2 linked regions of the Pelodiscus sinensis genome follow. The protein of the gene in region 2 interacts with the protein of the main gene of each other region in a biochemical or structural test. Links are inferred from orthologs where the notes say so. Each region holds a gene or a part of one and is shown on either strand. Other genes may lie near its edges.

Evidence for each region. The genes of interacting proteins can lie anywhere in the genome.
Region 1: the proteins of BMP7 (region 2) and BMPR1A form a complex in vitro, tested with the Homo sapiens proteins (2 studies listed by BioGRID). The link is inferred for Pelodiscus sinensis from reciprocal best matches to the Homo sapiens genes BMP7 and BMPR1A.

What each region holds. Positions count from the first base shown.
Region 1 is NC_134718.1:18,369,938-18,377,801, reverse strand, and holds the start of BMPR1A (bone morphogenetic protein receptor type-1A), read left to right. Parts: upstream 1-4,860; 5' UTR 4,861-5,148; intron 5,149-7,864. UniProt on the Homo sapiens protein: On ligand binding, forms a receptor complex consisting of two type II and two type I transmembrane serine/threonine kinases.
Region 2 is NC_134728.1:14,405,745-14,413,774, reverse strand, and holds the start of BMP7 (bone morphogenetic protein 7), read right to left. Parts: upstream 3,008-8,030; 5' UTR 2,595-3,007; coding exon 2,162-2,594; intron 1,800-2,161; exon of another isoform or gene 1,667-1,799; intron 1-1,666. UniProt on the Homo sapiens protein: Growth factor of the TGF-beta superfamily that plays important role in various biological processes, including embryogenesis, hematopoiesis, neurogenesis and skeletal morphogenesis.

The sequences.
Region 1 (7,864 bases), on a different chromosome or scaffold from region 2:
CAGGCACCTGGATGTGTATCTACTCTAAATTTATTGAAAAACTGAACATTCAGCTCCCTTAATCGCGTCAGTGTAGCTGTCCATTGAAGTTGGCCCAACTATATTTCAACAGAGGTTCTCACATCCCTTAAGGACCACGTGTAGGGTGCCCATATGTTTCTGCTTTGGGAGCCTGCCTCAGTGAGCAGTATCTGAGCCATCTATCCAGAGAGCAGGTATGATATGGGCACTAGCAATGCAAACTTCATTCACAATACAACACATGCCTGGGTCCTGACCAGGAGAGACTCTTTTAATGGATGACTATTCCAATGACCGCCCTAAAAGATACAATTTGTGTGGTGTATAAATCTGCCCATCAAGAACTGGATGAAAACCAGATATACATTTCACATGCAGCATCAAACGTGTTCAATGTTAGCAGCTTTTGGTCGTTAGGAACCTATATAGGATTTAATCATTAACCCATTAATGGAAGGCTCAGTACTGTATCACATTATCTTGTAAGATTATTTTAAAGAAGTATTGTTAAACGTGCTCCCTTAAAATTGGATTTAGCAGTTTTGCTTTGGGTCATGAGTATGGATTCCTCTCTATGGTCCGTTTTGTTCTGAGCAGATAGGTAGAGTGGAAGAACAGTATGCCTACTTCAGTGATTTCTGGGTTTCTCTGCATTCTACACTACCCAGTGTAGAAGCTGTGATTTTGCCTGTTCTGTAAGTTGCTATCATTTTGGATGCTGTATTTTTTTTCTGGCACAGGGAAAAAAAGCAAAGATGTTTCTGAAAACCGAATTAAACAAAATTTCGTGTTTCTAATGAGCTTATTTAGTCACCCTTGCACATTTTTAAAAGTGCCCATTTCATTGTGTTCCTGTGAAAAAAAGACTGCAAAGGCAATAGGTTTGAAATGATACCCTCTTCTTTGCTTTCTAGACCACGTCAACATAATACAAGAACTCACTATACCTCTATGATTCAATCCGGGTTTAAAATATACATGAACTGTATTGCAAAGCCTGCACTATTATTTCAGATCCACAGCTAGTAAGTTTCAAGCTGGAGTGCAGAAGATATGTAAATTCTAATACCAAAAAAATGAAACAGCTAGACAGTGAACACCTCCCCCTGCATGCCAGTGTTTCCCACAAAGAGTTTGTGTGCGGCCATCTGCCGCCCATAAGTGTTTTCACCACACTTTCCAATCAGTTGCTTGCTGGAAAGAGTTTGTCTAGGGAGGCATTCATCTTGCCAGCAGCAAATGTTCTGTCCTAAGAAGCACTCTGTTCAGTTGCAAAGTGAAACTGAATAGGTCGGGGCAATATTAGTTTTCCACTGCAGTAGACTATGCATATAAAGCTTTTGACATAAACCGAAACTAAATACTCCTAATCACCTTTCCTCTGCAGCATTAAGGTGCAAATCCTCTCCCTTCTCTGCATGTGCACAACGCTGTGCTCATAGTGGACATGGTGTAGTTCTGGAGTGTGAGGCATAGGATGCTTGGAATCCAGGGGTGCAGTGTGCCTCTACACGTACCATGTGCAACAACATCAAGGCTCCTTCTGAGCTGCTCTACCAAGGGCTGGGAAGCACAGACCGAAGACAAACAGCACCTTGCTAATAATAAGGAAGCTGAGAAACGGGATGCAAAGGATGGCCTTTGGCAGGTTCATCAGTAAGCAAAGCATCTCACTGAAGAGGTGAAAGGGAGGAAAGTTACAATCTCAGTTGGCTTAGTTATTTGGAGAATTATCTAGGCAGCAATAAAAGTTGTTCTCTTCATCCTGTACATGAGGGCTGTGTCTACACTAGCGCAATCTCGCGCAAAAGCGGCCACTCTTGCGTAAAAACTTGCTGCCTGTCTACACTGGCCGCGTGTTCTTGCACAAGTAAACTGACGTTCTAAAGTATAAAATCAGGGCTTCTTGAGCCAGAACTCTGACGCTCCCGCTCAGGAATAAGCCTTCTTGCACAAGAGCTCTTCCAGAAGAGGCCAGTGTAGACAGGCAACATGAATTTCTTGCGCAAGAAAGCCCTATGGTTAAAATGGCCATCAGAGCTTTCTTGCGCAAGAGAGTATCTACACTGGCATGGATGCTCTTGCGCAAAAGCACATCTCTTGTGCAAAAGCACATGCCAGCGTAGACGCTCTCTTCTGGAAGAGTTTTTGCACAAGAACTCTTCCGCAAAAGAGTTTTTGTGTGAGAATGCGCCAGTAGGTGTAGCCAAAGATTATAATCATATCCTGCTATTTATCTTGTAACCTTTCAAAAATTCAAATTTCCCTTTGCCCACAGCTAAAACTCTTGCCTGGGTTCCCGTAGTCTCCCATCTTGCTACTATAACCACCTCTTCTGTCTACGCCAACATACATGGTTGCTCCCGAGACCTTTTGAATCCATCTAAAGCACAATTCCTAATATAACATTCAGAGCTCCACCCCCTCCTCTCTGAAATCTTCCATTGACTCCATTTTCTGCTGCATTAACTCCAAGCTAATTGTCCTCACCTTCAGAGGGAAGCCAGACACTGGCCAGCCTTTCTAGTGCTGCTCTCACCTCCCGACACATCACTCCGATGACATGTAACTGGGAGTGAGGGAGGTTGTGGTGGCAGGTGTTTGGGGCACCACACAGGGTATTTGTGAGGGAAGGCTTGGTATGTCCAGGCTCGCCTCTTGTCTGGATCTGGGGCCATTTGTGCTGCTGGTTGAGGAAGTGGAAACACCCAGAATCTTGTCCCTTTATGTAAAGCAGAGGTGGGCAATAATTTTTTATGGGGGGCCACTCCAAGAATTTGGTACGTGTTCGAGGGCTGCACTTTTCTGGGACTGGGGTGTGGGATCTGGGAGGGAGTTTGGGTGAAGGAGGGGATTGTGACCTCAGGCAGCAGACTGGGGTGCAGGGTTTGGGATTGGGTGTGACCTGGGGTAGAAGTGCAGGAGTTTGGGTCAGGACCTGGGATAGGGGATTGGGGTGCAGGATCTGGGAGGGGTATGGATGCAGGAGATGAATCTGGCCAGGGGGAGGGATGTAGGAGGAGGGAGTGCAGGGTATAGGAGGAGATTGTAACCTGGGGCAGGAGTGCAGGGAGTGGGGGTGTGTGTGTGTGCGTGCGCATGCGTGCAAGGATTTGGGTTGTGACCAGGGACAGCAGATTGGGGAGCAAGGTCTGGGAAGGGGTTGTGACCTGAGGAGGGATGGGGAGTGCAGAAAGCTTGGGTTACATGGGGTAGGGATGTAGGAGGGAGGCAGAGGGTTGGGGGATGGAGAAACTGTGGTGCCAGAGGCAGGTTCTGGCTGGGGAACCGTACGTACATCAGTGACTCCCAAGCAAGCAGCCCAGCAGCAAGTTCCTTAGCCAGGGGCCCTGCCTTCCACACTCTTGTATGTGCTTAGAGCACCTGCAGGGGCTATGTTTGCTGCTGTGAACCCTATGAGCCCAGGGGATGAGGGTGGAGGGGCACTTCACTTGCTGCCTGTCTTGCCAACAGGAAGTTGCTATTGGCCAGAAACCAGAAAATGGGCAACACTGGGGGCAGAGGCAGTGTGAGAAACCCAAGTGAACCACCAGTAGAAACACATGGGCTGTGTCTAGACTGGCAAGTTTTTCCGCAAAATCAGCTGCTTTTGTGGAAAAACTTGCCAGCTGTCTACACTGGTCGCTTGAATTTCCGCAAGAACACTGACTTCCTACTGTAAGAAATCAGTGCTTCTTGCGGAAATGCTATGCTGCTCCCGTTCGGGCAAAAGCCCTCTTGCGCAAATCATTTGTGCAAGAGGGTCAGTGTAGACAGCACAGTACAAAAAAAAGCACAAAAAAGCCCCGATGACTAAAATGGCGATCGGGGCTTTTTTGCGCAAAAGCGAGTCTAGACTGGCACAGACGCTTTTCCGCAAAAGCACTTTTGCGGAAAAGCGTCTGTGCCAATCTAGATGCTCTTTTCCACAAATGCTTTTAACTGAAAAGTTTTCCGTTAAAAGCATTTGCGGAAAATTATGCCAGTCTAAACGTAGCCATATTGCCAGCTATGGGCACTCTGCTAATCAGCTGGGCAGCGTTTGAATCTCTCCTGGGTGGCTGCCCAAGTGCATAGATTCCCGGAACACTGGTGGTGGTCTCCAAGCATTAGGGGTGGGTGGGGTGGAGTGGGGGGAGATCTCCTAGCATTCAGGTTTGGGCAGGGAGTTGATCTCCAAGAAATGGGAAAGGGGGTGTATGATCTCCCAGCACTGGCGAGGGAGGGTTGGTGGTCTCCCAGAACCAGGGAGGGGGTGTGTGTGATCTCCCAGCACTGGGGTTTGGGTGGTGGTGATCTCCAAGCACTGGGGTTTGGGTGGTGGTGATCTCCAAGCATTGGGGAGGGGGGATTGGTGATCTCCCAGCGCTGGGGTTTGGGTGGTGGTGATCTCCAAGCACTGGGGTTTGGGTGGTGGTGATCTCCAAGCATTGGGGAGGGGGGATTGGTGATCTCCAAGCACTGGGGTTTGGGTGGTGGTGATCTCTAAGCACTGGGGAGGGGGGATTGGTGATCTCCCAGCGCTGGGGTTTGGGGGGGGGGGAGTTGATCTCCCGGTGCTAGGGTTCGAGGGGGCACTGGTGAGGGGGTGTGTGTGATCTCCCAGCACTGGGGTTTGGCGGAGAGTTGGCGATCGCCCAGCACTGGGGGAGAGGTGGGTGCCCAGCACTGGGGGGGGGGGGGGGGTAGATCTCCGAACGCTCGGCTCGCGCTGGGGGTAGGAGCTGGCGGGCTCCCAGAGCTTGGGGGAGGGGCGCGGGCGCTCTCGCAGCGCTCGCGTGTCAGGGGGCGGGCAGGCAGGCTTCGGCAATCTCCGCCGCCGCTCGGATGCCGTCGGAGCGAGGCACTGGAGCCGCGACTCGGAGGCTGGCGGCGCGCGAGGGCGGCGGTGTCCCGAGGGCGCGAGCTCCAGCGAGCCCGTCTGGCAGCGGCGGTTGCGCGCTCCGCCCCCGCGGTGCTGGCTGGGGCCGTTGGCTGCCGTGATTGGAGTCCCGCTCGCGCAGGCCGAGGGCTCGGGCCGCTGTCGGAGTTTGCGCCGCGCCCCCCGCCCGGCCGGGGGAGGCCGGAGCCGCTCGGAGGGTGACACGGAGCGAGCGCAGCCGGGAGCATGACGGACCCTCGCGGCGGGTGAGTGCGGCCGGGGTGTCCGGCGAGACGGAGGCCCAGCGCGTTCGCGGGGCCCGTTGTGCCGCGGCGGCCCGTGGCTGTCGGGGAACGTGCCCGCGGGCTGCCCTGGGGGGCACGTTCCGCGGTGAGGGCCGCGCGCGCCGGGCGCCAGCTGTGGCCGGGCCCGTCCCAGCGGGAGTGCGCCGCGGGGCGGGCCCTGCTTGCGCCGCCGCAGCCGGGGTGCCCCCCGTCCCGTCCCGTCCTTGTGCGGGGCAGCGCGGCGCGGCCTGACGTGACTCCCAACAGCAACGTCCCCCTCGCCCCGGCTGCCCCGCTCGCGGGGGGCTGGCGCCGCTCGGCGGGCAGGCCCCAGTGCGGCAAGTGTGCGCAGTGTGGGTGGGCCCTTGCCGTGACGCAGGGTCCCTGCGAGTCGGTGGGTCTCTGCCGGGGCACAGGAGGCGGCCGGCGAGAGGCCACTTTTGAGACTGGAGCTTTAAATGTTTCTCTGCGACGACGCCTTCTCCCCACCCCCCATTTTGTGTTGCAGTTTCAGGCTGGGTGTTACGCGAGCTATAGTGGTGCAAGAGGAGTAACCGTGTAGTCACTGACGCTGCTTAGTGAGGGGCCTTGAATTTCTGGGTGCGAGAGGTGGCTTTGAGCGAAGTTGTGTTCCACCGTTTCTGTTAAGCCCGTAGTAATTCAACAGTTAAATAGTAAAGTATTGAATAGTTTCTTTATTTCGGAGAAAGGGCTTGTTAGGTTTTAGGATGCACATTTGTGTAACTGACTACGACGTCTAGAAGAAAGGGTTTGGCTAAACAATAGAGCCCCAGAATCGTTAAAATGTGCAGGATTTAGAGTAGATTCTGCAGGGAGAAGCAGTATTGCAGAATCTAAATCCAGCAGGTTCACCTGTCTGCACATGAGAAGTTGATCATTTTATTATATTAATTTCTTGTAGAGGATGAAAAGTCTGTTTTGAGAATACATATTTAAGCTGATAACATTTCACCGAAAGAAACTTATATGTGATAAGAGCTGTCATTGGCTGTAGCATTGCACAACAGTGCTGCTGCACATCCAGCTATTTATAAATATAGTTAATGATCAAAGTACTGTATGTTGCACCTCAAAATCTATGATTAAAATTTGGTGGAAAGATATTCATCTTTTTTTATCAAGGTAACATTTTTGACATAGTTTATCAGATGCATATTTTATACTACAAATACTTAAAGTCTGCAGTAGGGATTGAGTTTTCGTAAATACTCAATAAGAGCAAGTACCTGCATCTGTGGATGTATATCTTAGTAGGTGCTGTTTGATCTTCGTTCAACATAGAAAATTAATGTATTTAATACAGCTAGGTTCCTATAACTTTCAAAAGGAAAACTTACCCTCTTCAGTGTTTATGAAAGAAGACTTAACTCCCCAACCTTGTGTAATTTTTAGATTATATTTTAACCGATGAAATTCAGTCAAGTATTTTTAAATTTTATCTCAAAGATATTTCAAATGATTTTCAATAATAAAAGCCCCATATATAATGAAATTCTAATCTTCTGCAGATATAGTTACATGAACCACAAAAATACATCATGCATCTAACAAGGTGGAATTTTTTACCCATGAAAGCTTATGCCCAAATAAATCTGTTTTTACAATGCTACAGAACTCCTTGTTTTTGCAGATACAGACTTCCATCCCCTCTGATATTAGTCACAAATATTGACTGGAGTAAAACTTTTAAGGGGCATGTGTTTTTTCCTTAGTTCCAGTATTCTGGAATGAAGAGAATAAAAATGTATGTATGCTGATTAGGGATGTTATGGGTAGTCGATTATACAATTAACCGATAAGTGTTGGCTTATTGATTAATCTTGTAGACTATATGTATCCCCCCCCCCCCCTTGCTGTATCAGAGGCAGCAAGGAGGGGAAGAAGGAGCCAGTGCTAGGGGGAAACTGCTTAAAAGCACTGGCTCCGCAGTGCCAACTGCCCTCCCCTTCCTTTCCACATTGCTGCCTCGGTCAGGGGCAGCAGCCAGGGAGGGGACAGAGGAAGCTCCCACGAAGCAGCCTCTGCAGAGGATCCAAGGTCCTCGGTGGTAGCTCCTGTCTGCGGGGGTCTGAGCTCCCTGCAGTCTGGCTACTGCTGGGCTAGCCTCTGTCTGTGGCCATTCTGGGCCACAGTGGACAGAGGCTGCTTTGCAGCAGCCTCCCCTTCTTCTCCCCCTCCCCCTGCCCTACAGCAGCCTCTGTCCATAGGGAGCTTGGACTCCTGCAGACACAGAGGCAGCAGCACAGGGTGGCAGGCAGCCAGTCTGCATGGTGAGCTGTTTTTTAAATGGCTTTCTCTTAGAGAGGCAGCAATGAGGGGTGGCAGGTGGTCCCTGGGAGTGAGGCTGGGTGCACACTGGCTGATGGCGCTGCCCCTGGGGATTATCAAATAGTCGTGTAACCACAAACATTTCATGCAGTTACACAACTGTTCATTTACACGATATCTAACATCCCTAATTCTGATATTATCTTAGTGGTTCTTTTTCTTCCAGTTTGTGTGGATACAAAACCAACTATTCTTAAACAATTTTCTGCTGGGTTTAGGCTTTCTGATTGTTATTTTTCATAGGTTTTTTGGGGGGTAGTGGGTGCAGGTATTGAGTCAGAATTGTTCTGAGTTGTGGTAAGATCTTGTTCTTGTCCATGGCAGATGAGAAGAGGTATATATATATATA
Region 2 (8,030 bases):
CATATATGCCATTGCTTTGATGTGTTCTGTGATACTCTTATAGGAGCTATCCAAAAAATGTTTTGTCCTTGTTTTTTAATATGTTGACTAATTTCACTAAAATCACACTTTGGAAAATATAATTTACTTTAGGGCCTGCATCTTAATAGGTTTTACATAAAACTCCCATGGATTTCAAAGAGACTTTTCCTTACACAATGAGTATAAGACTGGGGTCCTAGAGCAGTACTTATGAAAGCTTTGTTGGAATTAATTTTTGCTTTTTACAAAGGATATAATTATTCCCCTAGAGAAAAACATTTATCTATCTGGAGTTGATTCTGTTAGTTATTTATTCCTTTCATAAAATCATACTTTTAAAATATAAAAAGAAAAATGGGAATTTGTTTCATTATTTCACCATCTTTTGTTCTCTGTTAGATTTTATTGAGTGTCCCTGCACTTTCAGCCTTAGGCTTTACTTTATACTTAAAACTAAGGTACCAGCAAGCACAGTGTCAACATCTCTTATCTTTAAAGTCAAATATTTGACCACCAACTGTAATTTTGGACATTGAGATGTTTGATTTTTAACATGAATCGTTGATGATTGGCTTTCATATTTAAAAGTGATTAGACGAGCATTCTAATTCTAAATTGAACCCATTATCACTTTCAAAAAAGTGTAGCCCCTCATCAAATGAAACTCATAGAGCACTCATCTGAGGTTCATGGTATTTAATATGGATGTATGACTTATGGACACTAGAAGTCCAGCATACAATACTCCATCTCCAGGTTTCATCAAAATTGCAATGGAATGATAATGTATATAGTCATACCTATTCAATGGTATAACATAGAGCTTATACTGCTATTAGTGATTCTCCTTTAGGTACAGTGCCAGAAGGATTATAGTTCAATTTCTGTTGCCACAATGAAGTTCTAGGTGGCCATGGGGTGAAACATAGTGACAACCAGTAAGCCCTAAATGATTATTATTTTACAGTATTAAATGTAAGGGTGCGGTCTGCACCATTTTATGTGCATTGGGTCTATGCCTCTTGCTCCTTGTCCCAAAGTAACTTTGAGTTGATCTTGTTTTGAAACTACGGTTCCGATTTGGTCTTAAAATTGCAGGCACCCAATCTGTACATTCGGTGGTTTCAGTGCCACACGTGATGAGTGCTAAAACTGGATACAGTGAACTGGGACCTATAATTACATATTTAAAATAGAATGTTGGCCCTGTCAGCATTTTACTCAAATCCAGACAAGTTTAGTCCAAAAGGATATACAATCTACAGCAGACAAATAGAACTCAGATTGGACCATGGCATCCAATTAGGGGCCTAGTGAGCTGCATTCAAAGTGTGGCAACTTTCAGGTCCTTTGCATAAACCCATCCACATGTGCTTGTGAAAGAAAGCAACTAGCTGCCTAAAACTAGAAGAAAGACTATGTAGAGAAAGTAGAAAGCACTGCAGGAGTAAATAAGGATTTGCCACTGAAACCCACAAAAGCAATTAAGAAAACAGACTCTCAGCAGCTTGGCCCTTTCAATTCAGTTAATGCAGTCTTCCCCGCTGCACTGGAATCCATCCATTTTCAGCTACTCTAGCGGCATTAGATGACTCTAAGCTCAGTGCTTTGAACTACAAGGCAGCTCATGATCTTGTGCTGGTAGGTTTCATATCTTCCTTGGAGGTTCCTGAGGCAGGCCAGGCCCACTAATGATTCCTTCACCTCTGAGAACCTCATCTCTGGGACTGGGAAAATAAGGAGTTTATCGGCAGGAGGAGGAAGAATTTTCATGAGAGGTAAGCGCTGATTCAGCACAATAAACTTCTAAAAACCCTAATGATGTGAAATAGAGGCTGAGCTCTGCCCAGCTGAATTTCAAGATTACTGCCATTTACATATGATGTAACAAAAAAGTACTTTTTCTTGGGGCTACTTATTTTCCCTTCCCCACCATTGGAGCCACCTGCCACCAGGGCCACCTGTGGCCACCAGTAGAGACACATGGGCTATCACATTCTTGTCCTTCCTTTGTCCATCAGACGGATCTGCCCATCTCAACCCCCTCCCCAGGCACTAATCCCAACACTCAGGCATTTATCCCCTCCCCCACCAAAAAATCTCATCCCAGACTCCCCCGGGATGGGGGTTAGAGACTCACCCAGATTCACGAAGCTCATCACCATGTCTGCTTCCGTGAGGAAGTTGCTGTCCTGCAGGCTGGCCAGGGGTGGCCCCTGGGTGCTGAAGATGGGCTTGTAAGGGTAGGAGAATCCCTCTCCCTCCTCCCCGGCTGCTCCTGCCGTCTCCTCCTCCACCGACATGGCATTGTAGAGATCCAGCATGAACATGGGGGCAGAGTTCTGCTTGCCGTGCAGATGGGGCCGGGGCCGGTGGGGCAAGCCCAGGATGGAGAGGATCTCCCGCTGAATCTCCCGGCGCTCCTGGCTCCGCAGCCTCCGGTGGATGAAACTCGAGTGCACCTCATTGTCCAAGGTGAAATCGGCCAGGATGCAGCGCAGCCACAGGCAGGGAGCAGCAGCCCACAGGACCAGCAGCCAGGAGGCAGCCTGCCTGAACCACCCCACATGCATCTCTCTCTCCTCTCCTCCTTCACGCAGCTCCCTGTGGAGGGGAGAGAAAGAGCCCCCGTGGGCTGGAGAGCAGGGCTAAATACTTTACCATGAAAGACAGCTGGGGAGGGGAAATGCCTGCCCCACAAAGTTCTGCTCACTGGGTTAGAGGACTCCTCGGGAGATCCAGCGGCAGTGCACTCATGATAAAAGTCTGGCGGGGGGGAGAGGGGGGTCTAGTTTGTAAAATCCATAGGATAGGAGAGAGAAAATCTTGAGTGCTGCTTTTCACCCTCTTCCTTCAGAGTCTGAGCTCGCTCTTTTTCTTTCTCTTCACTCCTCACAAGCCAAGCCTAAGCACTGTTTGAAATGCTGCTTTGCAGACAGCACTGGCAGCAGGAGGTTGTATCTTGTGGGAGGAGCAGGCAGCAAAACTCAACACATTCTCTCTCTCTCTCTCTCTGCCTCTTCCCCCCCCCCCCCCCCCTTCTTTCTCCAAACTGCTTAGAAAAGAAAATCCATGTTCCTGCCTAGAGGAGGAACATCTGATCAGGTTGCTTTTCAGGATGTTATGGAAGCGGCTGGATTGGTAGAAAGAGTGAGCCATTTCCAAGTAGTTGCATTCTATCTGAAGAAGTGGGTCTGCCCCACGAAAACTCATCACTTAATGAATTATTTGGTCAGTCTTTAAAGTGCGACATGACAGCTTTTTTGTTTTATCATGTAAACATGGTTAAGGAAAAAGCACCCAAGAGAGAAGGGGAGGTTTAGGGGAGGGGGCAGTTCTTTGAGAGAAATATATATTCACATACTGTCCAGAGGGGAAAACCAATCAATGAATAGATTTACAATTTCATGATATAAATAGGATAGTCATTGAAACTAGGGTCACTTTTTCCAAGGGCAGCTGTGGAATAGAGGGGAGGGGGCAAATAAGAGGGGGTTAGTAAGGAAGTGTCAGGGAAGACTGGGGTGATAGAAGAAACTTTAAAATACTATCAATAACATTTACCTGGATCTGGCCCCCAAGGCTCAGGGATCCCTCCACATTGGGGAGCCCGTGCTAATGCTCCAGCCCCTCTGCAACCCATCCACAGGCCTGGAGCATACAAAACTTAGTCGCTTGGGTGCCCCCGGCTCTGGTGTTCAAGGGAAATGTGGGAGTGTCTTTTTCCTTCTCCATCAGGGGCTTCTCACTTTGCTTCTCACTTGTGTGTGGCCTCCAACTGATTTTTCTGTGGGTCAGCGGCCCCCAACTCAAGAAAGGTTCCCCGCCCCTTAGTACAATGGGGCCCATGGCTGGGCTTTTTGGAATCTATGATGATATAAAAAATAAGAAGAGTTACTCACCAACTTTAACTACAGCTTCCCAACAGTTCTTTGAAAAGAGAGGAGTGAAAATAATTCACATTAGGTGCTGACTTTCTAATTGAATCTTGGGAAGAAAGGGGGACTGAAGAAAGTGGGTCAGTCACACTAATCTTGACAGTCCCATGTCTTTGATGTTTCCTGATGAGTCTATTATATGCCAAAGTCTCAACACCTGATCTTGCATACCTTCTGCACCCACAAACATTCAGCACTTACATCACTCTGTGAATTTAAAACATTATATAACCAATAACTAGCTATTCATCTCGAAACCTATGGGAAGGAGGTAGACTGAATAAAAGGGGAAACTGAGGCATATAGTCAATTTCCTTATGGCTACCCATTGAGTAAGTGATACAGCCAGAAAACTCCTAACCATGCCCTGTTCTCATTCCTCTTACCCATAATGCTTCTCAAAACTCGTAACTCAGGGTGGAGGTTGGGTGCCCATTGGAGGCAACAAGAATGAGTTCTCAGAATCTTGTATACAAGCACTACTAGCCAGCTGTAAAGCCGGGGGAAGGAGTGGGTAGTTTACATAAAGCTTGTCTCTTGTTTCTGATCTTCAGAGTCCCTTCATTTTGGCTTAACTGTGATTTCAGTTGCCTGAAGTTCTATACACAACACTACTTTTTGTGTGTGTTACGCCTTTTATAGAAATCTTGGGCTTGATCCTGAGAAGTGCTGGTACCCGCATTACCTCTGAGAATCAGGCCCTTTCTGTGTGTGAAAATGCTTGTCAAGGGTATAACTAAGAGAAATTTGGCAGGTTTTTGTTTTGTTTTGTTTTACTTTGTTGCCTTTGTACATTTACAGCACCACGTCACTTCCACTGTTCCTCTTATATGGCCAGTTGGTTCCCATGTTATTTGTTTGTGGGTTTTTCACTCAGCACAGGAGAAAGGAAAACATCTTAAAAATGATAGTCAAACATCAGAATTGGCAAAGGGGATTCAAGAATGGGTGTGGTATCTGAAACTACTTGTAGCTCACTTAGTTTTCAAGTTGACAGTGTCCCTTTAATTTTGCCTGTTTGGGGAAGAAAAGTAGTTGTATAAGATTTGAATTCCAGTTTATCAGGAAACTGGTTGCTAAGACTTAGTTTATCATTTTTATGGGAGATGAAATTTTAGACTTGATGAGCTTTTCTGGTTGCCTAAGAGGTTATTTATATCTCTTTGTTCTCTATTTAAGTTTTCCTATAATTTTAAGTTGGTTTAAGTTGCCTATTTTGACTGTGAGCAAGTGCATCAGTTTAATATTGGCTATGTCCTTTCTTGAGAGGCAGGGAATATGCAGCACTTGTTTGGGAACAAACCAGATATTGTAAAGATTTCATTCATTAAATTATATAATTGTATTGCTTTCTTCTATGGTCTTATTCTTCATTTCCTGCCTAAATTGAAAAGGAAGATGCATGGTGTGACAGACATTGAGAATGAAGTAGAGAGATGACATTGTGAACAAGCAATTGGGTTTTTATGAAAGGGGGTTATGATAAGAATCAATGAGCCAAACTCTTTCTTTGAAGCAGCTGTGCAGGTAATTCCTCCACACTTTTTCCCTCCCTCATAAAATGTCTGGTTTGTGGTTGTAAGCTAGTAAGTGCAATAGGAAATAGATGCATGCCAGATTTATATGCATATGCCACTGCTTCTCTACCTATAACAAATGATACTAAGGGGATTCTTTATGAGTGTGGGTTAAGAAAGGGAAGCTATTAGAGAATTCTTCTCACATCACAAGTTTATCCCCCATTGATGTCAGTGGAGTTATGGGTTTTAAACAAGAGCAGAATCTCTCCCAGTATGTGCAGAAAAAAGGATAATTCTATAAGGACTGAAATGGGCTCAAGCTTTATTATTAGGATCCAGTTTTGGGTTTGAAATACTCACCAATCTATATAGGTTATATAGTCTGTACTATCATTGGTATAAAAACAAGTGGTCCTGTGGCACCTTAAAGACTAACAAAAATATATAGAACCATGAGCTTTCATGGGTAACACCTACTTCATCAGATAAGTTGCAGTGGGTTTTTACCCATGAAAGCTCATGATTCTATTTTTGTTAATCTCTCATGCCCCAAGACTTGTTTTTAAAGTTACAGACTTACATGGCTACCCCTCTGAGAATTTTATCATTAGGATAGATTTCATCCTCCTCCCTCTCCCTCTCCCCCTCCCATATGTATTGCATGCTATTTAAACTCATTTCATCTGTTCCCTGCAAGTTCAGCTCCTAAGCACTGCAGACATATTGCTAGAAATATAGGCAGCCCATGTCATCATCCTCTTTCTCCTCCTCCTTCCCAGATCAATTAAGAAACCAGTTTTTCCTCTTACTGTTCTCCTCTTCTCTAGACTCTCTTTCTCCTACTCCTTGTTAGTGAGGGAGAGCTAAATGCTTGTGATGAAGCAATGCCTGCATGTTGACAGTTGTTGTTTTAGATAATTTCTTTAGATAACAAAATTCCAACCAATTGCCTCTTTCTTGAGGTTTACATGTAGGCTAAAATACTAGATTAGCTACTTTTTGGTGTCTTAATGAATTGAACCCTTTTATCTGTTTTGTGTATTACCTACTGATCTTTTTGTTGGTGCAGGCAACTGCACATTCCTGATTAGTGGAAGAGACAACTTTAAAAATAAAAGGGCCTTTTTAATGAACCCTCCTTCCCCCCCCCCCAATATAGGCACACAAATACATGTGCAATTGCATGTATTATTGCCGAGATCATAAATATAAATTAAGCAGAGATCTGCCAATGGCTAATTCTGGTTATTTCCATGCAAATTTCTCCTCAGTAACTACAAACAGATTAGGAAAGTAGTTTCACGCCTAACTTGTTTTAAAATCAGGCCCAAAATATATTATTTTCCTTTCTCCTTTTTTTTCTACATCAAGTTCAACCTTTTCATTCTTACAGCTCAGTGCCCTCTTCCACTATTTCTATTTCTTACCCATTTTGAGTTTTGCACTTTTCGATTGCCATTTCTAATGCCTGGAACAAAATCCTCTTTCTGAACACTGCTGAGCATCTTTTACTTCTTCCTCCAAATGCTTCTACTAAAATAAATGTCTTTTAGGAATCTTGTCAATGCTGATTGTATCATCAGGGTCCTTTGGATTGTTTCCATTTCCTGCCGCCCCCATCCCCTGTACCTGTGACTCAAATTCTAACAATAAGAAAAACAGTATTATTTTATAAGATTACATATACAGCTTGCATATTGCATTACACCACATTGGATTATACTTATCAAAGTTTCTATTCATTCCTCTTAACACCATTATCACAAATGTATTCCTTAACATGAAAGTAATCACATTATGGATAAGCTACATGTTAGCACTGTTCCAAGAATTTGAACTAATCTGGGTCTGGACTGTGCTAATCACATTATATTAATTAAACCATAGCTCTGGTTGCCCTGGTTTACTGATCAGAGAAGACACAGTGATGGAAGCTGTGCACACAGATTTGAAGGGAACTGTTACTCCTGTGGGGAAGCCTTGACTAAATAGTTTTGGAACAGTAGGGACCTTTGAATTCTAAAATTTAAATGGTATCATGGGAATGAATCCTGAGAAATGCTGAGTGCTTGAATAAGACAACTAAATTTTAATTGTAAATGTATAAGAATATAAGAATGGCCATACTGAGTCAGATCAAAGGTCCATCTAGCCCAGTATCCTGTCTGTTGACAGTGGTCAATGTCAGATGCCCCAGAGGAAGTGAACAAACAGGTAATCATCACGTGATCCCTCTCCTGTCATCCATTTCCAGACAAACAGAGGCTAAGGATGCTGTTCCTACCCATCCCAGCTAATAATCATTAATGGACCTAACCTCCATGAATGTATCTAGCTCTTTTTTGTCCTAGTCTTCACAACGTCCTGTGGCAAGGAGTTCTGCAGATTGACATATAAAATTGGTCTAGATCACCACAGATTTCACTAGAGTCACTGTTGATTGACACCAGACACTAGATCAATGGTGGACAACCTGCAGCCTGTCAAGGTTCTGTATGTGGCTCACAAGACATTTTGTTTACTATTGCCCATGCTCAGAGTTGCCAGATTC